4 linked regions of the Diceros bicornis minor genome follow. The protein of the gene in region 3 interacts with the protein of the main gene of each other region in a pairwise test. Links are inferred from orthologs where the notes say so. Each region holds a gene or a part of one and is shown on either strand. Other genes may lie near its edges. The genes, in order: PLEKHN1, C20H19orf44, CBY2 and DZIP1L.

Region 1 (6,878 bases), on a different chromosome or scaffold from region 3:
TCGCCCACCGCTGTATCCCCAGAGCCTAGGACAGGCCTGGGATATCTGCTGAAGGGAGGGAGGATCAGCGCTCACAAACACCTGGCCAGCCCTGGCACAGAGAACCCTTTATACAGAGGGGCTTGGTCATCAGATTGGAGTCGGAGAGAGACAGGTGCTGACCTGGGGCTGAGGACCTGAGGGCTAGGGTCTCAGGGCTGAGTTGGGGAGGGGGCCACCCTCCCTGTGGGAGCTGGCAGGGGCTGCCTCTCAGGCTGCTGTGCCCTGGCCAAGCTGAGCCGCCCCTTGGGCAAGCCCAGGAATGTGAACAGACAGACACACAGCGTCCCGGCCTCCCTGCCTCTGGGTGGGGCCTCCGGTACCCACACCCAGAGCCGGTAATGACGCTGGGATGGGACCACGAAAAATAGGCCACGGAGCAGGACAGGCCATGCAGCTGGCCCTGTGGCCCAGACCCAGCCTTAGGGTCCAGGGAGGAGCCCGCTCACAGCTGAGGCAGGGCCGGCTCATGTGTGGGGGCAGAACCCACCACAGGGCAGGTCCCAATGAAAACTGGCTCCTCCCCTGACCCCTCCCTCTCAAAGTTCAACATGCCTGGTCCCCTCTCCAGCCACCATGTCCTGGCAAGAGAGGACCACCAGGACCACCATGCCTCATGGAACTCCACCAGGGTCACATGATGTGTCCTGGGCCTGGACAGAGGGACTTGAGGTCTGGGATGCAGACACATGAAGGACCTCATCCCGGCCAGGCCAGGCCCTGGACGGAAGTGCCCTGTCCACGTCTCTGAGGCAGCACGGTTTCTGAAGACAGCGTTTGCTCACAGGGAGCCCTGGGACCTCAGAGGCCAGGAGAAGGGACAGGCCCGCCAGCCCTTCCCAGCCTGACAGCAACACATTGGGAAGGTGGGCTCTGAAGCCCACACTAGCTGCTAGGCCTCGAGGGGATGGTGTGAGGACCGAGGAGTGCAGGGCTGGAGCTCCTGGCACAGAGTCACAGCCGTCCCTCCTTCCCTGTCCTCTCCCTGATGCTCCTGGGGTAAGAAGCTGCGAGATCATTTTGCTCACATCCTGGTGTCTCCGCACATAGCAGAGCCTCACCTCAACCCAGTGCAGCCATGTTGGGGAAAGGGCTGGTTGTCTCTCCCCCTCAGCTAACCCTTAGCCCCACAGGAGTGGGGGCAGGGTGGGTGGGGTGGTATTCAGCTCAGAGGTGGCCTAGCATGGGCTCGGAGCCACGTCCTTGCCACGTGGCCTTGGCAAGGGGAGACGGGGGTGCTGTGAGATGAGGCATGATGGATGTGGAGAAGACACTCCCTGGCAGAAACTGAGGCCTGGAGTAGGTGAGAGGCTGGCTCACTGTTCACGTGAAGCCCCTCACCCTCAGAGTGACAACGGGGGGTGAAGGTTCACAGCTACACTGCCAGCACGACACGGGTGCCCACGCAGCAACACTGAAGTACGTGAGCTTGGTCCAACTTGAACGTGCCTGTTCCTGGGGGGTGGGCAGACACCAGGGCTGGGGCCCCACAGAGATGGCTCTGAATGCATGGCCTGGCCATGGCGCCCCCTCTGGTGCAGCAGAGGCTCCTGGAGGCCCCGCCCGCGGCCCGCTCCTGCCCAGTGCTCGCTCACCCCACTGACTCAGTGTCGGGTCTCAGTTTCACTCTCTGCTCAGACTTTCGGCCAGATGAGCTCCCCAGGGTGGGGCAGTGTCTACTTCCTCACCTTGTTCTGGGTTTGACTCCCCCTGGGCTGCCAGGGGAAGACCCTGAGCCAAGGCAAGATAGGACACGCACACGCAGTCACATACCGATGACCCCCACCGCACCCCCTCGAGGCCTCGCTCCAGCTGGGACACGCCCACCCGCCCGCTCACCGTCCCAGGGATGTAGTAGAAGATCTTGTCGGCAGTGGTGTCCCCGTCGGGACCCGCCTCGGTGCCAAACAGACCAGCCAGCTTCCTCGCACCATCCTCTCTGGGGATAAGGGAGGGGGGCTCACAGCCTGGCCCCCAAGGCAGGTTGAGGGCGACCCTGTGACCCAGAGGCCGAGGCCGTGCTCCTGCCCCCCTCACCTATTTCCCTTCAGCGAGGGCTTTCTGGAGAGGGAGGCCCGGAGCCTCCGAGGCGCCTGAGGGACGCAGTGGCTGTTTCCCATGGGTGGCGGTGACTGCTGCCCCGAGCACAGCAGGTCGACGTCTGGGTTCCTCTGTCCTAAGCCTCCTGCCCCCACCTCCTGGGGCGGGGCTCCGGGAAATCTCGCCCTGTATCCAAGACCTGGGGAAGGGTGGAGACTTTCTGGGAGGAACCTGGCCCCTACCTGAGCAGAGCCGTTCAGTGCTCTCCTGAGTCTTTCACACGTGCAGTCCAGCCTGCCTCTCAGCCCAGTCAAGAGCCCCCAACTCAGCTGCCAGTCTGTACGGGAAGGGCCTTGAACACCTAGCCTGGGAGTGCGTGGCCTGCCTGCACTCGGCCTGGGGGTGCCTGGGGCTGGAGCTCCCTGAGTCCAGGGACCACCTTCCAGGCCTCACCTGCGTGAGCGCACATCCTGTTTCCACCTAAATGCCGTCTCTGAGTCAGCAGTGACTGTAAGGGGGTGTGTCCTTGCTCTCAGCCTCAGAAGCGGGAGTTTGCAACATCAGGGAAGGGGCCAGAACCCTCTCCCAGGCTCCTTTCCCGCCCCGGCCCAATCCTCACCCTGAGCCAACGTCAGGGTCCCCGAGGCTTACCCAGAATCAGGAAGGAGACCACAACCCTCCCAGGTACACCCAGGCTGTCACGGTGAAATGGGAAGAATGCCATGCACGCCACCCTCCCCAGAGCCTGAGGTGAGCCAGGGGACACAGGAGCCTCTCAGGACCAGGCTCATGCTCACGGTGGGCGCTCATCCAGGACATCACCAGCCCTGCCCCACCTGGACATCACGGTGCTGCCTCAAAACCCCCAGATGCCAATGCAGCGCCTCAGCCCAGCTGCAGACCCACCCCGGGGCCCTCCCGATCAACAAAGACAGCACCCTGAAAGGCGGAGATGGACACTCAGCCTCAGGCCCAAAGAGCCCAAAACACATGTTTATTGTTCAAGTCAGCTCATATTGCTCTGTGTAGTCTGGGGCACATGTGTGCCCAGCTCAGTGCAGAATCCAGAAAAGACACCACCCTCACAGGACGGAAGCCCAATTTGTGCCCTCCCCGGGAGCGTGCCTGGCTGGGCAAGGAAAGGGCGGTATGCAAAGTGCAGGCTGGGGGGTCTGCCTCCGCTCAGAAAGCCCCCCACCAACCCTGGCTGCTCTGCATCTGCTCCTTGGTCCCTCCAGGCCTGCAGAGTCGGAGTTGGCCCAAATGTCCACCCACATCGCTCCCTGTGCCCCCGTTGGGGTGGGAGGACACCCTGGAGGGCAGCTTGGTCCCAGAGACACAGGACACTTTGAATAAACATATAAACTGGCAGCTGCAGCGCTGCTCGTCGGTCAATAAATAATGAATAAATAAATGAGTAAATAAATAAACTGCACACACAGAAACTAACTCTGAGGAATGAACACAAACGGTGGCCTTGACGCAGAGACGCGACAGACGGCGCAGGACGCCCCCGGGGGGACTGCCCCGGGGGGCTTAAGGCATGTGGAAGGCTGTGGGCTGGCCTCTGTGCAGGCCGCGCCACGGGTCAGAGGCTGGTGGACGACACGGACAGCGTGGGCGAGGAGGGTGGCGGGAAGTTGAGCAGCTCAAGCACCGCCACGCCCACGCTGCTGCGCCGCGTGAACATGCAGGACGCGGCCACCCACTTGTTGGTCCTCGGGTTGTACTTCTCAATGGAGTTGAGACTGGAGCTGCCGTCGTTGCCCCCCACGGCGTACAGCCAGCCGTCCATGGCCACCAGGTCGTGCGTGCTCCTGGGGGCAGGGGGGTGGTGGGCTTGAGTGGCAGGGCGGGGCCCCCAGGCCATGGGAGGAATCTCTGGAGTTGGGTTGGGGCATGGAGCTGGGGGAGCCCGGGAGTAGTGGGCAGGGGGCAGGGGATGGAGGGGTGGACACACCCCACAGTGGTGAGGCTGTGGGGCACGTATGTCAGTGTGTGGAGGGGAACACCACGAGGGGGACACGACTGGCCAGCGAGGTGGGGCTGGTGCACCTTCGGATGTTCATGGGCGCCACACTCTCCCAGGCACCGGCCTTGGGGCTGTATCTCTCCACCGAGTTGAGGCAGCTGGTGCCATCATTGCCACCGGCCACGTAGAGGGCCCCCTCCAGCACTGCCACACCCGCAGAACTGCGCCGGCTCAGCATGGAGGCCACGGGCGTCCATGCGTTCACCTGCAGTCGACGGGATGGGATGGGGGCAGCCCCATCACAACCTCCCTCCACCTCCATGGTGCAGACCCCTACTCCAGGGCAGAGTGCTTGGGGGTGGGATGTAAAAGGCTGACCCTCAGGGGACGTGGGTGGCCAAAGTGATGACCTCAAACAGCTCTGGGGAATAACCGTGACAGGGGCATATTTCGCACCTGGGGTTCATACTTCTCCACGGTGGCCAGGTGTGAGGAGCTGTCGTAACCACCCACGGCGTACAGGTTCCCATCTGCAGAGAGTCAACAAACCCATGGTGCACCTGTTGGCACAGGGTCTCAGGTGGCAGGAAGGGTGGGCACTACATGAAGCAGGCCCTGTCACCCACCGAGCATGGCCACGCGCACGTATCGTCTCCGGGTACTCATGGCGGCAACAGACGTCCATGCTCCCATCAGGGGGTCATAGCGCTCGGCACTGTGGGCATCAGGACCGCCGCTGACCTTGAGCAGTGGCAGAAAGGTTGTCCTGGCCCCTGGACCTGTCCTCCCCATGGCAGGACTAGAATCCTGTGCTGGGTAGTCATGGAGACTGACCTGAGTCTCCCTGGAACAGGAAGCAGGGCCTGCTGGGTAGGCACTGTCCACCTGGGCCCAGCCCTGGACTGGTGGGAAGGACCCCAGAGAGGAAAACGGGGCAGCTGGGCTGGCACATATGAGGAGGCCTGGGGACCCTGGTGACTCCAGTCAGGGGGAATCCCCCTTTGCTCCCCTCAAGCGTGACCTCTGCAGTCCTGATGGAGCCGTACCTACTGCGGAGCCAACCCCAAAAGGCCACCCAACCCTGACCCCAGCCACTACCTGTTGAGGCAAGAGGCCCCATCGTAGCCACCAGCTGCATACAGGAGCCCGTGCAGGGCAGCCACGCCCAGGCAGCTGCGCCTCGTGCCCATGGACACCTCTGGCTGCCAAGTGTTGGTGACAGGGTCGTACGACTCTACGGTGGCCAGGTCTGAAGTCCCGTCGTAACTAGGAGAGAGGTCCGCTGCCGGTCAGGAGTGGCCTGGAGAGCATATGCCGAGCCCCTGCCCTGAGAGCGTCCTCCACACTTACCCGCCCACAGCGTACAGCCGGTTCCCGACGGCTGCGACGCCCACTCGGGCCCGGCGTGTGGACATGGAGGCCACTACGTGCCAGCGGTCACTGCGTGTGTCATATGCTTCACAGTCCCCGTGGATGGCGAATAGGCTCCCACCACCTAGACAAGAGAAGGTGAAGGGCAGGAGAACGGACCCAGGGAGGCAATGGGCTGGGGGCTCTGGCACAGCTCGAGGTCGAAGGTGTGGGGACTCCAAGAGCGGTTGGGGACAGGGACTAGGGAGTAGGTCACACTACACAGGGTCCTCCGTGGAGGAACAGAGGAGCAGGAGTGGGGTGGGTGCAGGACGTGACCAGCACAGGGTGGAGGAGCTTGTGCTAGGCTCACGGAGAGAAGACGCAGGGCAGAGACGTGGGGGCTGGACAGGAGGGGACGGGAGAAGTGGGCATACCCACAGCGAAGAGCACGGGGCCAGCACCCTCACAGCGCCGGGGCCGTGTGCGGCTAGTGCCCAGCACGCCCCTCTGCTCGGGCAGCAGGTGGAACTTGAGGGCCTCGATGAGCAGGTCCTTGCAGTCAGGGTGGTGCCTCACCAGGCTCTCGGCGTCCACGTGGCCCAGCAGGAAGTCCCGGCTCAGCAGGGGCAGGCGCACACACTTCATCAGCTGGGGTAGGGGTGCCACAGTCAGGTGGCAGGTGGGACGTGTGGGCACACTTGGCCCCGGCACCGAGACCACCCTCAGACACCCTGAACCTTTCTTTAGGCACATGCCTATACCACCCAGTGGAGTCTCTGGACAGAGGAGCCCAGACACACCTAGGCCCTTGGCCACTGCATCCCCTCCTGGACACCATGGGACCACCCAGGGCCTGGCCTCACCCGAGGGACATGCTGCCGCCGAGCGTCCACGTCATGCTTGACCCAGCTCAGGACGGCACGGTAGACGTCCTCTTCTGAAGGCACGTTCAGGCTGTCGCTAGAGACCAGTTCCAGCACCTGCGGGTGGGGACCCTGAGACCTGAGATTTGGGGAGGACCTTGGGGGCCCATGGAGCCCTAAAGGTGCCTGGGAGGGAGAGTCCAACGAGGGGCCCACTGTTCCTATGAGGAGGGACCAAGCAGGGTTAGGAGCCACAGATCTGGTTCCTAGGGATTTAGTCCAGAGTAGCCCTGGGCATGTGGAACGAGAAACTGAGGACGGTAGGCAGAGGTGTACTCAGAACAGAATGGGGTCAGGAATCAAAGGTGAAGGCTTGGGTGGAGTCAAAAGATGGGGCAAGGGCGGAGGAGCCCAGAGAATGGATGGTAGGGCTGGAACATGGGTCAGAGGCTGGGAATAAGAACCGAGGAGCAAAGGGCCAAGTCTTAAGAGCCCAGGGGAAGGGGGCTGGGGGTCAAGGGCTGGGTCAGGGTCCAGGCTATACTCTAGCTGGCATTACCTGTTTCAGCGGCAGCAGCATGAATTCCTCAGTCTTGGCCACATCCACGAAG
Region 2 (7,134 bases), on a different chromosome or scaffold from region 3:
TCCCTGGAAGTCACTTCAACTGGGGGTGGGGGGTGCTTACAACAATGGCTGCCTCTTTGGCTCTACCTTTGTGATATGAGTCAGTAATCAGCACTCAGATGCCCAATATTTGGTGGACAGGGTCCTTTTTGCCTACCCTGGCTCCCAGAAGCTGTGTGTAAGCTGCTCCAGGAACATGTGCACAGCTGTCGGCCATATGGCTGGGGGTGGAGGATGGGTAGGTGCTACTGTGCTAAGAGCTGAAATTGACCAAAATTAACCCTCCTAGTCTTCTCCTGGAAGCTGCGATCCTTCCACAGACTCCAGAGTTCCAAAACAGTTATATTAGGCAGATTCTGCCAGTGCAGTTGATGTCCAGGTGGGGAGACAGGTTCCTGGTGCTTCCTCCTCTGCCATCTTCCCAGAATCCTCTTCATTATTAAGCTTTTTGAACGCACACACTTCAGGTATGTGTAGTTCCTATGGCCCAGTGTGGTCCCTTCCCAATTCCAGCACAAATTTTTATCAATTACCTCTGGTGTCAGAAGACACTTAATATGTTCTCAGGGTCAGGAAGCTTTTTCTGTAAGGGGCCAGGCAGTAAATATTTTTGGCTTTGTGGGCCATGTGGTCTCTGTTACAACTACTCAACTCCGCCCTTGCTGCTTGAAAGCAGCCATGGACAAGATATAAATGAACAAAGCTAGGCTGCATTCCAATACGACTTCATTTGTGGACACTAAAATTTGAGTTTCATGTAATTTTCATGTGTCACAAAATATCGTTATTTTGATTTTTTTCAATCATTCAAAAATGTTAAAGCCCATTCTCAACTCCGGGGCCTCAACAAACACAGGCCATAGACTGATCCAGCCCACGGCTAAGGGCTGTTAACTCCTGATATAGTCAAAATACTTGGGGCTACATCAATGTTGAATAAATAGCTTTTTCAAAAGCACAACAGAATGGTATAGTTGGCTTTTTATAGTATTAATTAGGTTTAACAGTGCTAAAAACCTTTAGTCAGATATACTCAATACCAATACTTTAGCAAAGTCTTAGTCTAAGGATCTTATGAGGTGGAAGGGTTTTCAAAGTCACCAGAAATGGTTGTGTTGTACTATCTAAACTTACCAAACATAATATAGTACTGGGATTTTCCATTCAGGTTCTTCTGATCTATGTCTGCAGGGAAGACCTTTATGTAGCCTCCTCCGCAGTCCATCTTCTGCTCGTGTTTCACTGTGTACTGAATGACCAGAGTCTTCCCTTTATTGCTAAAGGGTTTGAACCGTGCAGAGATGGCGTAGAATCGGCCATTTTGAGTGGTTTGCAGACCTTTAAACAAAAAGTACTCATGAAGGATTAGGAATGACACAGCGCTCAGTGACGCAGGCAATTAAATGGTTGTCCTTCTGCCACCCCCAGTAATTACTTCCTAACCATTAAGGACCATCCAGAGCCTACAGCACATTTGTACAATAATATGCAACAGGCATGATATACCACTGTTATGTCTTAAGTTACACAAACATTTTAGCTCTAAATGACAAATACGCAATCTAATTATGGATAAAAGATTAATTTTGCTTCCATTCATCTTCCGAGGGGTGGGTATGTACAAGGAAGCCTGTGTAACACCTGAATTAAAAAAGGGAGCATTCTACTTCTTTTCCTCAATTCTCGTCTTAAAACAGCTACTTCAGAGACACAACAGCAGACGGAGCACAGAGCACTGATCTGCAAGACAGTGCTTCACGGCACTGGCTGAGCTGGCCCAGAGACTCATCTGTGTGACGGCTCTTTTTACGAAGATACCATCCTTTTATCATGCAAATCAGATTATATTTGTTTTACAAGTTTAGGCATTCACTTCAAGACCAAAACCCCCTTTCTCAGTAGCCACTAGGCTCTGTACCAAATCCTTATCTTATCCTGGAGTCTGCCAAACCTGAAAACAGAGCCATTCTTATCATAACCTACCCTTCCTTGCTCCACACTCTGGCCCCCATAGCTGCCTGTGGTGAGAGCCGTAAAAACGAACTTGGCCTTTTGTGTCAATATGTCCAAGCCTGACCTCATGGCTGACTCCCCACTACCACACCTCTCCTTCTGCTTCCTCCATCCTTCTCCCACCTTTCCCTTTCTCAGGGAATTTGTAGCCCCTCCCCTTCCCCTTCCTCCTATCCTCCAGGCAATTCCTAAAGCCACACTGCCTCCCTTTGTGTCCCGCTACCCTCCTCAGCCAACCACATCATCTCTCACCACCTCCATCTCTGCCTGACTAAACTCTATCTTCCCGTCCACGACTTCTGTGTCATGGCCCGGGAGACCATGATGCAAGGGGCCAAATTAACCAGTGTCCCCAAGGCCTTGCCTGTGTGTGCTATCAGGAGACGCATGCTGGGCTGAATGAACGCACAGAACCTCAGGATTCCAGATTGGAGGGAGGAAAAACACTGTGGTAAATACCCAAATGACTCTAAGTGGAAACCCCTGTCCATGGACAAGCTTCATGGAACAACCTGTGTATTTTCACTCCATTTTTCTCATATAGCCTGAATTTTGACCAACTTTGTGGGCCAACATGTAACTTACAAAACAACGTATATACAATAGAAAACCAGAGGCTGCCACACAGGGTAACAATGGAGTCACAGGGCCAAGATGGGGGTTGAGTGGAAGGTGGTAAAGAAGGAAATTTTTCATCCAAATCAGGGGCCAGTAAACTTCCTCTGCAAGGCCAGAGAGTAAATATTTTAGACTCTGTGGGCCATTTCGTCCGTCTCAACTACTTGATTCTGCCTTTACAGCATGAAAGCAGCCAACAGACTATATGTAATGAATGGGCATGGCTGTGCTTCACTAAACTTTATCCATGGACACAGAAACATATTTCATTGAATTTTATATAATTTTTACATGTCACAAAATACTATCTCCCTTTCGATCTTTTTCTCAACTATTAAAAATGTAATAACTATTCTCAGCTCCCTGGCTGTACAAAAACACACAGTAGACGAGCTGTAGTTTGTCCCCCTTTTATCACCAAATAGATGTTATCCTTGGGGCCAGGAGGCTACTGATTTGGGGGAGGGGGGCACCAGGTAGGCCTATACCTGGACTGAAAATGTCCCCTATCTCGACCCGGGTGTACAGTTGTAAACATTCATCCTGCTGTACCCTGAAGATCTGTGCATGTGACAGCATGTAACTTTTACCTCAATTTTTTTTTCTTTTTAACGTGAAAATAAGAATGAGAAGTATCTTCTAATCTTTTTCCCTCCGCAGGAAAAAGTTCCCTTGGGCCCTGAACTCATTTGACTAGTGCTTATAAAGCGGGTGATCTTGGGCTCATAAAGACAGGAGAGAGAAAAAAAATAACTCAAGACCCTACCTGTGCCTTTGTTTCCTTACCTGGGAAATGGGTGTAAGAGGGGTTAAGGGTGTGCCACATCTACCTTGCAAGGTTGCCATGGGGGGTTAACATTTAGCTCGATTTTCTCACGAATCCTACACTAACCTTTGTCTTTCTCTTTATGACCATAAAACTTCCCCGACGAGAGTCTAAAATGCCCAAATTGGGAGTCATTGGCGGACTGCACCCATCGGTTCCTCCAGCGCTCTGTGGGGGAAACAACACCGGTTAGGGCGGACACTGTTACTTGGGGTCATGGGGAGGGTGAGGGGCCTCGAGGCGTCGAAGATTCGCCACCACCGACCCCGCGGCGAAACGCTGGCGCCAATGGCGACTTAGGCCGTCCGCCGGACAGCTCGGTATGGGCTACCACGGGCGTTTCACCTCCGTCTAGAAACTCCTCCTGGAAGTAGACGGTGGCCACCGTCATTCGTAGTACGCAGACTGCCCAGAGCGGAACGCGAGCCGCGACCATGGCGACTGCACGGCGCTTCTTCTTATACCCGCCCCTTTGCTCCCGGTCTCAGTGGCGCTCCAGGCCTGTCCCGGAACTACAACTCCCGTCACGCCTCCCGATTATGACCTGAGGCACCATTGGTCCCCGGCGCGCAGTGCGCGCCGGGGCCGCCCCGGAACTACCACTCCCATGATGCCCCGCCCATGTGACTCGGGGCACTATTGGTCCTCGGGGCGCGGGGCGCGCCGGGAAATGTAGTCTTTTCCGCCTTAGCGCGGTTGCTGGAGGCAATGGTCCTCTCCTGGCCGGGTGCCGGACCGAGAGCGGCGGCAGCCTCCGCGGATGGACAGAGTGGGAGGAGGTTGGCGGGGTTGGCTGGGTGGCGGTCAGGTTTCGCGCTCGGGCTTGGGAGAGGAGTTGTGGGGAAACGGGGCGCGCTCGGCAGCTGGGCTGGGAGGGCGACGGGAGGGCGGCCACGCGCCTCACGCCTCAGTTTCCCCCTCTGGAGCCCACTCGGGAGCGTGGTCCGATGTGGGTCGCTCCAGGCCTGAGGGAAGAGCCCAACGGTCTGAGGGGCGCCAGTGCTTTCAAAGTTTGGTTATTTATTTTTAACAACTTTATTGAGTATTCATTTACATATCATACGATTCACCACTCGTTTTAAGTGTACAACTACGTTATTTTTAGTAAATTTATCAAGTGGTGCAACCATCACTACGATCCAGCTTTAAGATTTTTCCGTCAACCGAAGGAGATCCCTCTTGCCCCTTTGCAGTCCATCCCCCTCCCACCTCCAGCCCCAGGCAACCACGGATGTGCTTTCTGAGTCTAGATTTGCCTTTTCTGGACAATTATTATGAGTGGAATCGTCCGGTGTGTGTTTTTTGCATCTGGTTATTTTCGCTTAGTAGGATGTGTTTGAGATGGATGCATGTTGTGTGTGTGTGTGTCGGTGTTGTTCTCATCCATTCATTAGTTAATAAACATTTGGGTGGTTTCTACTTTTTGTCTTTTATGAATAATGACTTATGAACATTTGCATACATTTCAGTTATCTTGGGCTATGTGGGAGTGGAATTTCTGGATCACATGGTAACTATGTTTAACCTTTTGAGGAACTGCCAGACTGTTTTCCAAATCAGCAGCTGCACCATTTTACAACCCCCCAACAGTGTGTAAGCGTTCCAGTTTCTTCACGTGTTTGCCAGTGCTTGTTCTTATCTGTCTTTTTGATTATCGCCATCCTAGTGGTGTGAAGTGGGATCTCATGGTGGTTTTGGTTTGCATTTTCCTGATGGCTAGTGATGTTGAACATCTTTTCATGTGCTTATTGGCCATTTGTGTGTGTGTGTATATATATATATATATATTTTTTATTATTATTATTTTTTCCCCCCAAAGCCCCAGTAGATAGTTGTATGTCATAGTTGCACATCCTTCTAGTTGCTGTATGTGGGACGCGGCCTCAGCATGGCCGGAGAAGCGGTGCGTCGGTGCGCGCCCGGGATCCGAACCTGGGCCGCCTGCAGCGGAGCACGCGCACTTAACCACCAAGCCACGGGGCCGGCCCATGTATATATTTTTTTTGAGTGTGAAATACCTGTTCAGGTTTTTTGCCTATTGGTTTAGTTTTAGTTGTGTGTTTCTTAAACATATCTCTTTTTGTTGTGGTAAAATGTACATAGCATGAAATTTGCCATTTTAACCATTTTTCCATTAGTTTATTTTTAAACCTAGGGAAACTTTCAGAAGAACTAGATGCCAGAAAACCTGGTCTGCTGGTCAGGCCTCCCCTCTGACCCCCAGAATGGCCGAGGCTGAGTCGTCCCCTGAACTTTGGCTATAAAAATATTAGCAAAGATACCTGTTGACCTGGTTCTGGCCATCTCTGCTTCCCCTTCACTGCGTCATTCCAGGTGAAAGTTAGCCTCTTATGCAGGTAGTCCAAATACTACCGTTACTACTGTCTAAATTTTGCTGAGCCATACTGAACATAGGAATCCTATGAGGGAAATAGTTATTATTCCCTTTTTACAGATCAGCAAGCTGAGGCCTAGAAGGGTTAAGTAACTTGCCCAGGGTCACACGGACTAGGAATTCTGCACTGCTGCTGTTGGGTGTGGTTCTCCATTCACTGAGCCCTGTGGTCAGGCCTGTGCTGGGCACTCTTAGTACACAGGGTGGTTCAGGTGGGGACGAGTGAGCAAGCACAGTAGTCAGAGAAACAGACAGGAAAATAATAAAAATCATTCATTCTTGTACAGAGTCTTAGGGGCTGGGTTAAATGCATTTCCTTGCACAAAACATTTGAGTTCAGCTTTGAAGGGTGTATTTAAGATATAGAGGGCCAGCCCTGGTGGCCTAGTGGTTAAGTTCGGTAAGTTCGGTGTGCCCCACTTCGGCGTGCTCTGTTCGCTTCCAGGTGCAGACCTACACCACTCGTCTGTTAGTGGCTGTGCTGTGGTCACAGCTCACATAAAAGGAAAAAAAAAGAGTAAGATTGGCAACGGATGTTAGCTCAGGGTGAATCTTCCTCAGCAAAAATAAAAACATATAGGGTTGCCAGATTTAATGAATAAAAATATGGGACACCCAGTTGAATTTTGGATAAAGAACAAATAATTTTTTAGTATAAAAATATTTGGAACATATTATTTTTTAGTATAAAAATATTTGGGTCATCCTTATATTTTTAAAATTATTTGCTGTTTATCTGAAATTCAAATAACTGGGTGTCCTGTATTTAATCTGGCAATCCCAATAAGATTGTTTTCCAAGTGGGCAGGGATGGGAAAAAAGGCTTTTTCAGGTCTCACAGTGAATTTTTTTTTTTTTTTTGTGAGGAAGATCAGCCCTGAGCTAACATCCGTGCCAATCCTCTTTTTTTTGCTGAGGAAGACCGGCTCTGAGCTAACATCTATTGCCAATCCTCCTCCTTTTTTTTCCCCAAAGCCCCAGTAGATAGTTGTATGTCATAGCTGCACATCCTTCTAGTTGCTGTATGTGGGGTGTGGCCTCAGCATGGCCGGAGAAGCGGTGCGTCGGTGCGCGCCCGGGATCCGAACCCTGGCCGCCAGCAGCGGAGCGTGCACACTTAACCGCTAAGCCACTGGGCTGCCCCGTTTTTTTTTTTTTTTTTTAATAAAAGTAACACACGGCGGTGCTAAAACATTCCAACAGTGTGGAGAGGGGGCGTGGTCTGCATCTTGTCCTTTCTTCCTCTTCTGTTGTTCAGCTGGCAACATTGTTATGCACGCACATCTCCCTGGCTCCTTTCAGA
Region 3 (7,277 bases):
TGCTGTGTTGAGCATAGTTGTAGGGGAACAAAGCACATAAGTAGAGAGATCAATTAAGAAGCCTGTCAAAGTCTCCAGACAAGAGAAGGTGGTGAGAAATGACCAGATTCTGGATGTGTGTTAAAGGCAGAGGCAACAGGATCTGAGAACAGGTTACATGCGAGGTGAGAGAGAAAGAGAGCAGTCCAGATGGTTCTGAGATGCTTGGCTGAGCAGTGGAGTTTACTGAAACGACCAAGACTGAGGGAGGAGCAGATCGTGGGAGAAGATCAGGAGTTTGATGTTGGCCATGTTAAACAGAATACGCCTAGGGATACCCTAGCAGAAATGTCAAGTCAAGCAGGTGGTCTGGGTTTCTTGTGAATGCTTACAGAAAGGACGTGGAATGGTAAAGTGAACAAGGGCTTCAACCATTATTTTTGCCAAAAGTACAGAAACATTTGTTTTATGACCATTTTTATATCAATCGGCAATAAAAATCAAGGGCGTACTCTTCAATCATAGCTAAGTGAAGGTACTTCTGGAAGCAGCCAAGTTGGTGTAGCAAAGGTCCTAAAAGATGTTGCCCTCAGGAATCTAACTTAGAACAAGGATGGAGCTTACCAAAGCTGGAGGAATCTGGATCAGCTCACACAGACCTCTGTCTCTCTCTCTCAACTGTGATTTCAGATTTGCCTTTGGCAAGAGTGAGCTCTTTGAATGTGCTTATTCTCTGGGGTAGAAGGTTAGGTGGCAAGGTTGACATTTTGCTATGAAAAGCAAAAAAAGAGACTGATAAATTCTCACCAAGATCAAGGCCCATCTCATTCTCACTTGAAGGCGGGTCACTGGGATACCTGAAAGACCTACTAGAATTTTTCTTTAAAAAGAGCTGTGAATTCACTCAAATGGGCAGATGAATCCCAAGCTGCGACTTCAAAATGATAAGCTGATGCTTAGCAACAATTTGGAATTATTCAAGTTAAGATGTTGTGTTTTCCTGACAAAAGGGTGGATCTCAGAGAGTGGCTTCTACAGACAGATATAAGTTAATCCTTTCCCCATGCAAATAATAAATGTGTCTATAGTTCCTCCAGGCCATCCCAGTCCAGAGGGAAAAAAAGTGTGCAACTGTCAGAAATGTAGCACAACTATCAAAAGTATCTATCAGCAACATAAATAGGGAAACTTACATCACAGTTGAGTTTTGCCTCTGAAAGTGTAAAAATCACAGCCTTGTTAAATTCTTTGAAACAAGGGACTTTGTCTTCTTCAATCTATATCCCCAGAACCTCCTAGAACAATGCTAGCACATAATAGGCATTCAATAAAATACTGACAAAGGGATGAATCAATCAACAGCAAGAAATAATAAAAACAAAACCTATGAGCACCATCTTGTGGAAGGCCTTACCATGACACCATCCAAGATGCCTGTCACCAGGCTGAAGAATGGACACTGAAATTTGTGTGACAGAGCCTTACCGGCCAGGGACTGTGGGGAACAGCAGGCTAAGAAACTTATCTTGAAGCTGTGTTTGCAAACCAAGTACACTTTTTAGTTAGATTCAGGTGAGGTTGCTGGAGATGATGGGGGCTACAAAAGTCCCCCCAAGCCAGCCCTTGGCAGTGTCCCTGAGTATAATTGAGAGGTGTGTAGATCCCAGAAGTAGTCTTTGACCAGTCCCAGCAAAAATGGTTGTAACAACCTAGCCTCAAATTCTTCCTTTGTGCTTCAAGAAATCCTTGGGAACCAACAATCCCAAGAGCTCTTCGGACACCAGGTAGCATCCTCTGTCTTTCTGCTTCTGCTACACCCCTCCCCAACTCATTGAGGCTCCTACTGTCGCCCTGTGATACTCATATGGACTTGGCCTCTCTTCTGTTTTCCTCCAACTTTCTCCACGTTGGAGTAGGAAGGGAGAGAGGCAGAAATAGTTATCTGGTCACCTTCCATTTGCTCATCTCCTACAGGACCACCAAGCAGAGGTGGAACCACCAAGAACCACAGAGGTTCTCTGCGTCACATGCCTCTCCCACTGGAGTCCCCTTTTCTGTCATTCCCACCCCCTTCCCAAGAGCCTGGCACAGGCCACGGAGAGACAATATGAAGAAGCCCAGTAACACACACTGCTGGTGTGCATAGGGTACTCACGACTCTTCAGGTTTTGTGGAGACCTGGAGCTTATACAATTTGGACTCTCTTCGAGAAAAAGAATAAAATATTACAAATACAAATTTAGGTGCAAAAGTGAATAAGCTATTTAGAATGTGAGAAGAAATCACAGCAAATCACTGGCACCTCAAAGATCCAAGTCCTTTTCTTCTGAACTCTGACAACTGAGCAGAAATGCTTACACAGAAATGGATTGCAACCCAGCCGCCTCACCCGACCTGGGCCACTCTGCAACCCTCAACAAGTCCACTCAGAGTGGCCACGGCATGTGAACTTCATCGGCTTCCTCCAACCCTTGACCCCAGATCAAGCCTCTGCACGTGGACTGTCCCCTCAGGGCAGCTCCTTGCCCCCGCCCCCCGACAGTCCTCCAGGCTGCTTAGGGGTCTTTGTCCTGGGAACCAGCCCAAGTGAGTCCACTCAGGGTGCCTCAGGGGAATACCCGCCCTTCTCCCGGCCAGCACACCCTGCAGCCCACAACCTGACCGAGTTAGAGAGTCTCAGCTCTAGGGAGTCGCAGGCCCTGTCTCCATCTCAGCAACCCCTCACAAGCTCGCGCTGGGGCCCGGGATTGGGGAAAGCTGACGCGGCATGATTCTGGAAACAGAAAAATAAAGCTATAAAATTTACATACCATTAAATAAATAATAAAATCAAATAAAACTCCACCAGTCTTTGCCGCGCCTCCTCTGCCCCGGAGCACGGTGTGGATTAGCAGCATGGCCGGCGCCAGCCGACACCCAGTACTAGCGGTCTGCCGTCCACCGTCCCCATTCGGGGGAACACCTGATGCACGTGGCCATGACGCAAATAATGAAAACTTTCCGGCCAGCCACGCACGCTTGGCCCAGCATTTCCGCCGCGACGACGGGGGCTGGGAAAGGGAAGCCGGGGGCAGGTCCAGAGGCTTGGAACCCCGGTACGCCTTAGAAGGGCGCGGGGGAGGGAGAGGGGCGCCGTTCCCATGGCAACTGAGAGCTGAAACACACGAGTGCAGCCTGGGAGACGGCGCTGGAGCTGCGCCGCCGTCGGCGCGGGTAAGGGCTGCCGACCTTAGCCGCCCGTGCTCCGGGAGACCCGCTCCTCCTCCTCCGGCCCCCGCCAGGCAGGAGGGAGGGGGAGCTGCGTCCAGAGTCTGGGGAACAAAGAAGCGTCACCTCGGAATTCTTTGTCTCTCTCCGCATTCTCTGCCCCTCCCTCCTTTGGCCCTCCTGTTCCCTGCTGTGACCGCGCTTCTACGCTTTGTGAAGGGCGGTGTTGGGCCCTGACACTTCTGCAAATAAAGGAGGACTGGGTCCTTAGAACCCTGGCCCTGAGTTTAAGGAAACATTATGGGTGTGGACGGTGTAATTTCTTCCTTTTCAGCCTGCATAGTCCAGTCAACTAGGCAGGAAAAACAATTCACCGCATCCAAAATTCCATCCCTGTGCACAACCAGTTCCTGTGAGCCAAAGCAAATCAGTTTCCCCTGTCATCCCACCCACCCCTGTCCCCCCCGACCTTAAAATGAGAGAGAAGCAGTGGTCCTAAACTTCCAGGGAGAAGGTGAGGAGGGGCCAGTGGCTGGTCCTCCACAGATGTTCTGTGCTGAGTGGCTGCTCAAGGTCACCCTCCTTGAAAGTTCAAATCTGAATACATTTGAAATTCCATTTATAAAAAAGGCCTTAGGGAATTGTGTTTTAATGAGTGCACTGGGGTGTCCAAACTGCTAAAAACTGCACTGACTGGTCTAAGGGAGGTCAACAGAACTTTTTGGCTTCAGTGTTGCCCCCTGGCGTTTTTTAATGTGGATCTGGATCAGCGTGGGCATGGCGCCATGGAACTTGCCCAAGTAGGCCATCAGTTGTTCCCCCAAGAGGGAAGGCAGCTGCCTTCAGCCAAGAAGCCTGCCAGTTAGTTAGAGAGGTTATAAACAGCTACTGAGGACCATACGGCCACAAGACGACCTCGCGTTTGCAGAGCCCTCTAGAACACCCTGGATCCTTTACAGAAATGAGACTTCTCCCCTTGCTCCAGCCACGGTTTCCAAGCATCTACTGGCAGCAACTGAGCTACACCCAAAGGCGCTATGGCTCACCCCATTCTCTTCATCAGCTTCAACTTTGCCTTCTGAGCCCACTCACAACTCATCTCTTGGTTGTCCCTCCACAGCAGGAGAGAAAGTTAGATGGATGGGGGCCTGAAAAGTCCAGACCGAAAACTTGATGTGAGGTCAGTCTCCTATGTGCCCTTTCTTCCCATGGATCATCCATTCAGTCCACAAACTTCTGTGGAAATCCTGCACATGCCAGGCGTTGTGTGAGGCTGCCGTCTCATGGGTGAGGCAGGCATGCAAACAAATGTGAACAGTGCAGTAAGAGAAGGGCATGAGAGAGCTGTGGGAAAAAGAGGATAGACCTTCCAGAAGAGCGTGCACGTCTTCACAGAGGAGGTGACTTTGAGTTGGGTTTTAAAGAATGAACACGCTTGCTTTAAAATAAGAAAATTTGAGAGTGAGGCTGGGACCCCAAAAAGAAATCTCCCTCTGGAAGAATTGCTGGAAATGTATACTGCATTCTCCAGAAAATAAAGCAGGACTGTGAATATCTTGGAGTAGAAAACCGAGAGAAGACGGAAAAAGGGCCAGGAGGACTGCTCAGCAGACAGAGCCCTCGGCCCCAGCTCTGAGGAACTGGAAATGCCCAACCTGACTAGAGCTAGTCCATGACTGGCCCAGAGCCCCTGCCTTTTTCTAAGTTGACGCTTAATGTTAAATAATGTAACACTGTTAACAGGGCCTCCTTCTAGGCACATCGAGGATTAATAGGAAAGACGTCAGCCCTACAGGTCGAGTTTTAAATAAGCTCGCCTGTGCTAGAACCAAGTTTCTCTCCAGTCTGCTATTGGAAGGAACACATACAACTATCTACCAAAGCTTGAGGCTTCTCTTGCACCTTGAGACAGGGTGAAGCCTTGCCCTCCCATCTCTGCTGCTGTAGTCGGGGCTGATGTGTCCTGTTAGGTAGCGCCTCAGTAGCAAATTCCTCACCCTTCGCAGTCCTCAGCCAGGAGTCCTCAACCCAGCACCTGCTGGTCTCCTCCTAGATCTTAGGGGTTTAGTTGGCCTCTTCACTTCCGGGTTGTGTAGCTCCAAGTCTCTTAGTCTAGAAGCATAAGCCTACATTCTTCCTGTCCCACCAAAAATAGGAGGTGCTGGTTTAATAACAGAGTTTATTTAGTTTTTCATATTTAATCCCCCCAAACTCCAAAATGTGGAGCCGGGCATCATGCCGTTTTAGACTGGTGCCTTTGCCTTTTAGAAGAAAGGGATGCTCAGGCAGCACAGCCCAAGTCCTGAGCCTGCCTCTCAGCTCCAAATCCGTCCAAGATCCCCAGGCCTATTTTCACCAGTAGTTGTGATAAACTTCAGCTTTATGTTGGGTCACAGCTTCAAGCCACGCTTTTGGAGCTCAGCTATATGAGTGTGGTTTGCACCCGCCCATGGCCATGCACTCAGTGCCCCAGGAGTTACACCTGACCATGTTCCCTGATGCACTGTCTAAGGAAATAAGCACTAGCAGCACTCCTCACCCGGGTTATAATTTTCTGCCCTCCTGACAGCAAGTGGAGCTCCTCAGCCCTAACCAAATCAGTCGGTGCAACCAGCTTTCTATGGGGTTCAGGGATTCTAGGAAGCGCTGAGCAGAGATTCAGGGACAGCTCCCAGGTGGCACCTGGCACTGGCCCAGAACCCACTAATTCCCAGGACTCTGTAGCCTCTTGGCTGCGGAGGTTTCTTTCCTTAGGAGGGCCTGGGGATATCCCTCTTTGAATAAGACATGGGTCCAACATGGGATAATGGGTCTACCAAGGCCACCTATTCTCTGTCCTACAAAATTCCTAACTCCTGGAAATTTGCAGACTCCAGGCACCATCCTGGGCTCTGTGATGTGAGCAAATGAGCCATTCGGCCTGGACACTGAGGACAGCCTCTAAATGACCACATGATTATGCTTGGAAGAACCCCATGAGCAGTCGTAACAAAAAATCCCTTTGCTCTTGGTCTTACCAGCCTTCCCAATGACTAATTGGGCATTTTCAGGTCGTAAATGACCCCCTTCCTTTCTCATTCTGTCCCTCTCTGGTCTCTAATTGAAATCTAGAATGCTCGGTGCTTCTCCAGTTTGCCGTGTCAAAACTTAGACCCATGAGCCAAGGCAGCTGAACTTGATTCTTTAGGGAGGTCAGGTGGGGGTTGGGGGCCCCACTGGTCGGGCAGGTAGGAGATAGGAGAAAAGGCTGTACCACCAGACAGTAATAGCCTAGCCCCCTCCGTAAATAAGCTCCCCTTACCCTCATCCTCTACACAGAATTTTCTTTCCATTTCCTTATGGTGGCTAAAGCCTGTCCCCCACCCCAGCCCTGGGACCCCTCTGGCTAGCATTTATCTACATGGAGACTGCCCATTTCTCTCATGGGCCCCACACCCCAGAAGCCAGAGGGTGGCATCCTCCTAGCTTCCTATTTTCTCCCCTTACAGATAATGCTCTTCCAACTCATGTTAAAATCTTCCTCTTTCTTTCATGACGTAATCACACTATACCATATTTTAATTCGTTTTTCTGTCTCCCTGCTTAAGCAAGATGCTTTCTTGAGGTCTGTAGGTGTGCCTTACGTGATCTTGCAGCCCCAGTGCCTGACAGTGTCTGTTACATAGAAAGTCCTCCATGGATGTCTGCAGAAGAAAGAGGAAAAGAAGAAAGGAAAATGGGATAGGAAGGAAGACTTGGAAGCTTATCATTCTCAGTAGCACATTTAAAAGGTCTGGTTAACACACTGAATGATAGAATCGGATTCACAAACATTTGAGCAGCCTGGAAGGGTGAGACAAAGCTAGCAAGATGAAATTTAATACTGATCCATATAAATACCTGTATCAGGTTCAAAAAATAAACTTAAGTTTAGCACCAAAAAGAAGAGAAAAAACAGGTAAAGAACTTAAAAGCTACCTTTAAACATTTGCAGCCCGCTGCGGAAGAAATTTGTTGTATGTAGCTCCAGAGAGCAGACCTGGGAGGCTGGTCGAAAGCCCAGGGGAAAAAGATTTATAGGCAAAATCTGTGTAATTTGTTACATGCTAAAT
Region 4 (7,059 bases), on a different chromosome or scaffold from region 3:
GCTGTTCCTAGTCTTGTATGTAGCTATGATTTGTCTCATCTGACAAGTGTAGAAACTGAGGCTCAGAAAAGCTAAGGGACCTGCCCCAAGTCACTCAGCTACTAAGTAACGAAGCCAAGATTCAATCAAGTTCTGTCAGACTCCAAAGCTTTTGAATCATGCCAAACCACCTCCTAATGATGACAATGACGATACGTAAATTATTTCCCATTATGGAAATTACAGTACCTGAGATTTCTTGACCAAACTTCAAGGACTAAAAGAGTTTTCAGCAAATCACAACAGGGTCAGCGCTGGAGTCCCTAACTCCCCCTGTATCTCAGCAGAGCTTAGCCAAACACCACTCACCTCCACGGCGTGGGTCCCGGCTGGGATGGGCAGAAGACAAGCCAAATGCAAGTGCTGCAGATTACCTGGAAACCACACGCCCCAGGGGGCAGGAACACCGCGCTTCTCCAGACCGAATTATCAGCAGACTGCTTTTCCCACATCTGGGAATAGAAACACAAGGCAGAAATGACTCACTGTCAGGAAATCTGGAGCTGTGTTAACCATCTCTAGATGTTTTGATGGAGTCCTCAGAAACTTCCCAATCCTCGAGCAATGTCACAAATTAGTGGGAACCAAAAGAATGATATTTATGCCAGCATTCCAAACTCACTTCATTGTTGAAGAGATGGTTTCTCCCTGGGCAATCACAGCCAAGAAAGAAAGCCCGTCTACCACCCGTGCCTTGCACACTCCCAGTGATGGGGCATTCACCACCCCGCAAGGCAGCCATCCACTGTGAGACAATTCCTGGAGACTTTATGGTTCTTCTGAAACCTGCCCACCTATAATCTGTCAGATAACTTCCACGAAATCAACCCAACAGCTGATTTTTTTAATAAAACTCTGACTGATTTAATATAACTTGACAGCTAGACTACACCACCACTGCTGCCACCTTACTGTCTCTTCTGCTTCCTCAAGAATGCAGCCAAGAGGAGCACTTGGAGGAGCCAAGCTTCCAAGGTGGCTGCCAGGCAATCATTTACCAGCCCGCCCTGGCTCTGAGCTAACTGCAGCCGGGCCTGCCCAGGGAGCTCAGGCGTGTCATTAGTGCTAATTGTAGTGGCTGCCAAGGAGACCTTCACATAGTTTGCAAACAGGCTGTGCACACTCACTAGGCAAGGGAACACTAGAGACCCCAACGGAGATGAGTGACCCGGGCCCTCTCCTGGAGCCCTACCGTTACACGCCTTAGGTTTCTTCTCTGATTCTGTTGTTTTCCAAAGAAAGGAGTCCCCCTTTCCACTCTTGCGTTCCATGCAGGCTGCACCCACTCCCAGAACCATCAAGCAGCGAGAGAGAGATCCATGCCACCAGGCACACAGCTCTCCCCTACAGCTGGCCTCCATTCCCAGCACCTTGAAGGAGATATTTTTAAAAGAAATCATTCACGGTTTTGTCAGGAGCCTATTTTAAGTTATTGCCACAAAAGGATTTTCTTCAAAATAAAAAATTGGGAGTGGGGATTTGACTGACATTGCTCAGAAGTATTTTCGAGAAGACTACATACTGATATGACCTATCTTCCCAGGTGATAATGGTCAAAAACCAACACTGCTTTTCACATCTAAAAGAAAACCAGCTTAGAATATACTGGTGTTTTCTTTCCTACGGAGGAGTCACTGCTTCTTGGTAGAGTTTCTCCCTCTGCAGTGCCTGGGCCATCAGACCCCCACAAAAACCCTCCCTACAGGTGCAAGGCCTCGTGACAGGTGGCACTGCAGGTGGTTACCCCTGCCAACCAGGACCAGCTCTCCTGCAAGGGGCCCACGAGGAGGTCCAGAACAGCCCACCAAGCTGTCCCCTTCTCTGCTCCTGTCAGTTTCAGTTGAGCAACAAGTCTTTTCACCCAATCCCACCTCTGTGGCAGAACCCAGTTATGTTGCACAAGTGAATTCAGGTTTCTGTTTCCAACCTGAAGCGTATAACATCCTGGGACCATTTTATCATGTTGGACGGTATCCAAAAATATTTCCACACGAGGGAGATGTCTCCAGACCCTTGGTGCTGACAAGACAGATGAATGACCACTTATCAACCACTTGACTGGAGGACCCACCTTCTCTAGGTGGGGTTGTTCTCACTGGCCAGTCCTCAGCTCCAGGAGGAGGCGTTAGGGACTGAGACTGAGGAGGATGACCACCCACCCAGCAGGCAGGCCTCGGCCCCAAGGAGTGCTGGGTGAGCGGCAGCCCCTGCCCAGGCCCTCCAGACCCCCTCCTGGCCTGTACAAAGCAGGTCTCCCGTGACGTCTACCTGCAGCCACCGCAAAACGCAAACACCATCGCCGCCTCCTGCTCAACTCCAGCCCAGGAGTGCAAGAAGGAACTAGGGATAACGATGTGTGTGTTTTTAAATCATCTCATTACTAAAAGATCCCCTTTATCTGCAGAATCAGAGCATCAAGCGCCCCAGATCATTTTACTTTTTCCAAAAAGTAGAAATCCAAGGCCGTCTTGCCAGCGAGGCCCAGTCCTGGGGGTTCAGTCATTGCTGCTCCCCTCCCGGGGTACCGCGGTCCAGCGCAGGCCGAGGGAGCTGGGGGTGGCGGGCCGAGCCGAGGCGCAGGAAGCGGCGCGTCTGGAGGCCGAGCCGGGGCGCAGCGCCCGCAGCTCCCGGGCTGGAGCCGCTAATGTTTAACCTCCCGCGGCTCCTGGCACGGATCAACGGGTCCATCGGACTGCACGGACGCGCCCCACCCGCGCCCCTCCCGGCCCGAATTCTTGACATAGTTTTCCCAGCGGTCCGGCTCACCTGGGGGTCCCGGAGCCCGGGCAGCGGGCAGAGGTCCCGAGGCGCCGGCTCCCCTTCTCGCCCGGCCCAGCCTGGCGGCTCGCTCCCGCGCCCCGGCCCTTCCCGGAATCCTCGCCGCCACGCGGGCCGGGATGCGCCCTCAGCCTCGAGCGGCCCCGGCGCTGTGGGGGGCGGGGGACCCAGCCGGCCCGCCCACCCGGCGCTGCCGACCTGGGGGCCGGGGCGAGAGATGCCCGCAGCTCCGGGCCTGGGGTCTCCGACGCCTCCCGCTCCCACGACAGCAGCCCCACCCCACCCCAGGGAGGGTGGAGCCTCTCCCCAGCCCCCTGGGAGGAGCTATTTTTAGGCCTGTTATTGAGGGAGGAGGAGGGAATGCCACGTTTAATCCGTTAGGAAAATCCCGGATCCAAGTGAATGGCTCCTAGGCCTTGCTGAGAGGCGGGCCGCGTGGAGCCCAGGGAGGCTGGACGGGGTTCTGTCTACACACACACACACACACACACCACACACACACTGCCCCCGGTTCAACCGCTGGCCTGCTGAAAGCTGGGGGAAGCTGCAGCCTTCCGGGCAGACAGCCCAGCCCACCCGCCTTAAACTAAAGGGACCTTCTTGGGTTTCTGATCCTGCCAGACGCTAGTCCTTTGAGTGAGTCCCAGGCCTGGTCAGATGGTAACCAGCCCCCTAGCCCCCAACCTTCAGGCTTGCCCTGTGGATCCAGCTGTGAAACCCAGGACCAAAGAATTCTTTCCTGATAATCAGTCCCTGATCCCTTCCTACAGCCAGTCGTTGCTTTAGTTAGACTCAGATTTCTGAGAATTTTTTTAAGTCTTTCTCCAACCCCAGCCTCAATCTGCCAAACTCTGTATCTTGGGGCAGCCAAAGCGAAAGTGGCTGGGAACAAGTGTTGGTAAAGATGTGGAGAAATTGGAACCCATGTACATTGCTGGTGGGAATACAAATGGTACAGCTGCTGTGGAAAAGAGAAAGGCTGTTCCTCAAAAATTTAAACATAGAATTACCATATGATCCAGCAGTTCCATTTCTGGGTATATACTCAAAAGAATTGAAAGCAGGGACTCAGATATTTGTACACACATGTTCATAACAGCATTATTCACAATAGCCAAAAGGTGGAAACAATCCAACCTAAGTGTCCACCAACATAGGAATGGATGAACAAAATGTGGTACATACATACAATGAAATATTATTGAGCCTTAAAAAAGGAATGAAATTCTGATACTTGCTACAACATGAATGAACCTTGAAAATATTATGCTAAGTGAAGTAAGCCAGATGCAAAAGGACAAATATTATATGTTTCCTCTTACACGAGGCACCTACAATAGTCAAATTCATAGAGATATTCCAGAAAGTAGAATAGTGGTTACTGGGGGCAGGAGGGAGCAGGGGGACAGGACAGGACAGGACGGTTAGGGAATAGAAAGTTGTTGTTTAATGGGCACAGAGCTTCAGTTTGGGATGGTGAAAAAATTCTAGAGATGGATAGTGGTGTTGGTTGTACAACAGTGCGAATGTATTTAATGCCACTGGATTGTACACTTGAAAACAGTTGAAATGGTAAATTTTATGATATGTATATTTTACCATAATTTTTTAAATTTAAAATAAAAGTGGCTTGGGCAGGGATCAGAACAAAGTAGGGATATTGGTGAGCCATCTACTCTGATGGGGAATCTTGCTCCTCCTCACCTCTCCTGGTCAGGGCACCCTCTTCAGTGTAGGGGTTCCTGCTGCTCACTAGAGGGGAGAGAAGAGTCCAGGCTCTGGACTCAAAGACGTACTTACATTCCACACTCCCAAGCTACATAACTCTGGGAAAGTCACTTAACCTCTCCATAAAATGGAAAAAATCAGCTCTAGCTAGCAGGGTCATTATGAGAAACAAATGAGCTCAAGCGTCTGCAGGCTCAGCCCAGGGCTTAGCGGTCAGCAGTGCGTCCTCCCAAGTTCAGTCAAGTGTGAAATCTGTGGGGGCTTGGAGCACATACTTCTCAGCTCTCTTCCCACTGTGTCCTTAAGTGTGCAGAAAGTAGCTCTGAGGGTACCTGTGTGCTTTTGTCTGTGTCATTTCCACTCGCCTCAATTTCCCCATATGTAAATGGGGTACCCTCTTTCCAGGGTGGATGTGAGAAAGTGGACTTGACATGCACCCAGGTCCACCTTGTCGATAACACCAAAAGCTAAAGACTCCATCTTTGGCCAACCAAGACCTCCCATGCATGGAGCCCTCACACCCTTCCGTTTTTGGGCCACAGTTCAACATTCAACACAGCCAAGGGTTACTGAGGGCCTACTGTGTGCCGGGCTCTGTTCTAGGGCCCGAGGATACCAAGAGTTTATGGAGGACTAAATCACTCAGCAATGGGAAGCTGTCACCCTCTGCTGTGCCACTTCTGCCACAACAGAGATTTGGCACCAGTGGGGACAGGTGTATAGTCCATGACACAGCAACAGGCCAAAGCAGACTGGCCCTAGATGGCTAGTCTAGGGGACATTCCTTTCACCCAGAACAGCTGGGCCATATCTTTTGGATGGGAGGGCAGGAGGGTGGGTTCCCAATATCCGCAGTTTCCATCTTGCCCTGTAGCCCCTCACCCCTTCCTCAGGCCACTGCCAGACACCCGCTCTCTGACCCAGCACAGACACCGTCACAGCTGGTCTCCTTCCTACACTTAGGGATGTGTCAGGAAAACAGTGAGACCAGTGTGCTGATTGATGGTGGACTTAGATTCTAGGCAGCCCACAATAGGAGTGCCCTCTGCTGTCAACTGCTGGCATCACACCTTGGAAACCAGCTCCAGATCCCACTTTCCTGAAGGGCACCTGAGGTGTATGGGGCAGGTCCCCAACGCTGGGATGCTGGCTGCTAATGGTCCTTGAGGTGATTTTAGGTCAAAGGTGTATTATTGGGTTTTCACAGCATTGATACATAGATAGACAGACAGGCATATAGTCAGAGGGGGGTTTTACATAAAAATCTGGTTTGCTGGTTTATTTTGAAAAACCTGAGCCTCTGGCAACAGAAGGCCTGTGGTCTCACATGTCAAAAATGGGCTGGAGCTGAGGGGGAAACTTTTCCCTAGGCAGAGCCTACACTCTAGCCCAGTCCTTGAGAAAAATCACTTTGAAGGAAGTCTGTGCACTTACAGAAGAGACCTTTCTCAGGAAAAAGCTCTCCTTCCCTGCAAAATGAAAATGCAGAGTCAGCCTAACCAGGACCTGCTCTCTGAGTCTGGGAACAAACTCAAGGCCTGGTGGGCTAGGACACACTGAAAAATTGCAACAAAATAATAAAATGTTTGTGTCTTTGATACACAAAAAGTGGCTACATATCAATAAGATACAGAAAAACAACCCAATAGAAAAGTGGACAAAAGATATTAGGCAATTCACAGAATAAGAAAATATATATTACCAAATAAACATGTGAATCACTAACCTTCAGTGAAATTAACATGACAATGAGATACATTTTTAAAACTATTATATTGGTCAAAGTTAAATAGATTTTTGGCATTGGTGAAATATGGGAAATGCACAATTTCAAACAGGCTTTTTTGAAAACAATTTGGCAACACATATCAAAATCTAAAGTCCTCAAAAATGTGGTCATCGAGACTTTTGCTACAGAATTACATGCACTATTAAAACTAGAACCAACTTAAATGTCCACCAATTGGGTATTGATTAAATAGCTTATGATATATCCTACAATGAAGCACCCTACACCATTTTTTTGCTCCATACAATCTCGTTTGAAACTCTAAGAATGAGTGTGGGATTTGGAAAAAAAATTAATATGGGGAAAACACCATCATGGTTTATTTTCAAAATGTATCATGACATCAATATGCAGCATGGACTCATAGAAGGCCAGAAGGAATCCAGGCTCACACTTCTACCACTCCCTACTCCTTACTTTGCCCAATACCCCTCATCACCATGTTTTGAAATATTCTTTTCTACTAAACAAACTACATTTATTAAGTAATACATTATTAATTTATTTCCTACATTTTATTAACCAAAAACATTTTAGTGACAGTTAAACCTTTCTATAAATATCAAATTATCAATACTGAATTCATATAATCACAGCCCAGCAGAAAGAAATGTGACATTCAGGGCTGGCCCCGTGGCTTAGCGGTTAAGTGCACACGCTCCGCTACTGGTGGCCCGGTTCGGATCCTGGGCGCGCACTGACGCACCGCTCCGCCAGCCATGCTG

The links.
Region 1: the proteins of CBY2 (region 3) and PLEKHN1 interact in binary tests that used the Homo sapiens proteins (3 or more experiments, as listed by UniProt). The two-hybrid records come from large-scale screens. The link is inferred for Diceros bicornis minor from reciprocal best matches to the Homo sapiens genes CBY2 and PLEKHN1.
Region 2: the proteins of CBY2 (region 3) and C20H19orf44 interact in binary tests that used the Homo sapiens proteins (3 or more experiments, as listed by UniProt). The two-hybrid records come from large-scale screens. The link is inferred for Diceros bicornis minor from reciprocal best matches to the Homo sapiens genes CBY2 and C19orf44.
Region 4: the proteins of CBY2 (region 3) and DZIP1L interact in binary tests that used the Homo sapiens proteins (3 or more experiments, as listed by UniProt). The two-hybrid records come from large-scale screens. The link is inferred for Diceros bicornis minor from reciprocal best matches to the Homo sapiens genes CBY2 and DZIP1L.

What each region holds. Positions count from the first base shown.
Region 1 is NC_080752.1:21,948,016-21,954,893, reverse strand, and holds the start of PLEKHN1 (pleckstrin homology domain-containing family N member 1), read right to left. Parts: upstream 3,003-6,878; 5' UTR 2,160-3,002; coding exon 2,077-2,159; intron 1,979-2,076; coding exon 1,879-1,978; intron 1-1,878. Other genes in the region: KLHL17 (kelch-like protein 17), read right to left, coding at 3,668-3,896, 4,135-4,316, 4,508-4,581, 4,678-4,766, 5,150-5,317, 5,402-5,546, 5,839-6,052, 6,268-6,384 and 1 more. UniProt on the Homo sapiens protein: Controls the stability of the leptin mRNA harboring an AU-rich element (ARE) in its 3' UTR, in cooperation with the RNA stabilizer ELAVL1.
Region 2 is NC_080759.1:4,664,187-4,671,320, forward strand, and holds the start of C20H19orf44 (uncharacterized protein C19orf44 homolog), read left to right. Parts: upstream 1-4,133; 5' UTR 4,134-4,144; coding exon 4,145-4,215; intron 4,216-4,265; exon of another isoform or gene 4,266-5,029; intron 5,030-7,134. Other genes in the region: CALR3 (calreticulin-3), read right to left, coding at 1,114-1,317, 3,503-3,604, 3,782-3,872.
Region 3 is NC_080748.1:31,138,762-31,146,038, forward strand, and holds the start of CBY2 (protein chibby homolog 2), read right to left. Parts: upstream 3,010-7,277; 5' UTR 2,877-3,009; coding exon 2,790-2,876; intron 1-2,789.
Region 4 is NC_080741.1:15,059,992-15,067,050, reverse strand, and holds the start of DZIP1L (cilium assembly protein DZIP1L), read right to left. Parts: upstream 3,012-7,059; 5' UTR 2,806-3,011; intron 2,254-2,805; exon of another isoform or gene 1,232-2,253; intron 492-1,231; coding exon 414-491; exon of another isoform or gene 349-413; intron 1-348. UniProt on the Homo sapiens protein: Involved in primary cilium formation. Probably acts as a transition zone protein required for localization of PKD1/PC1 and PKD2/PC2 to the ciliary membrane.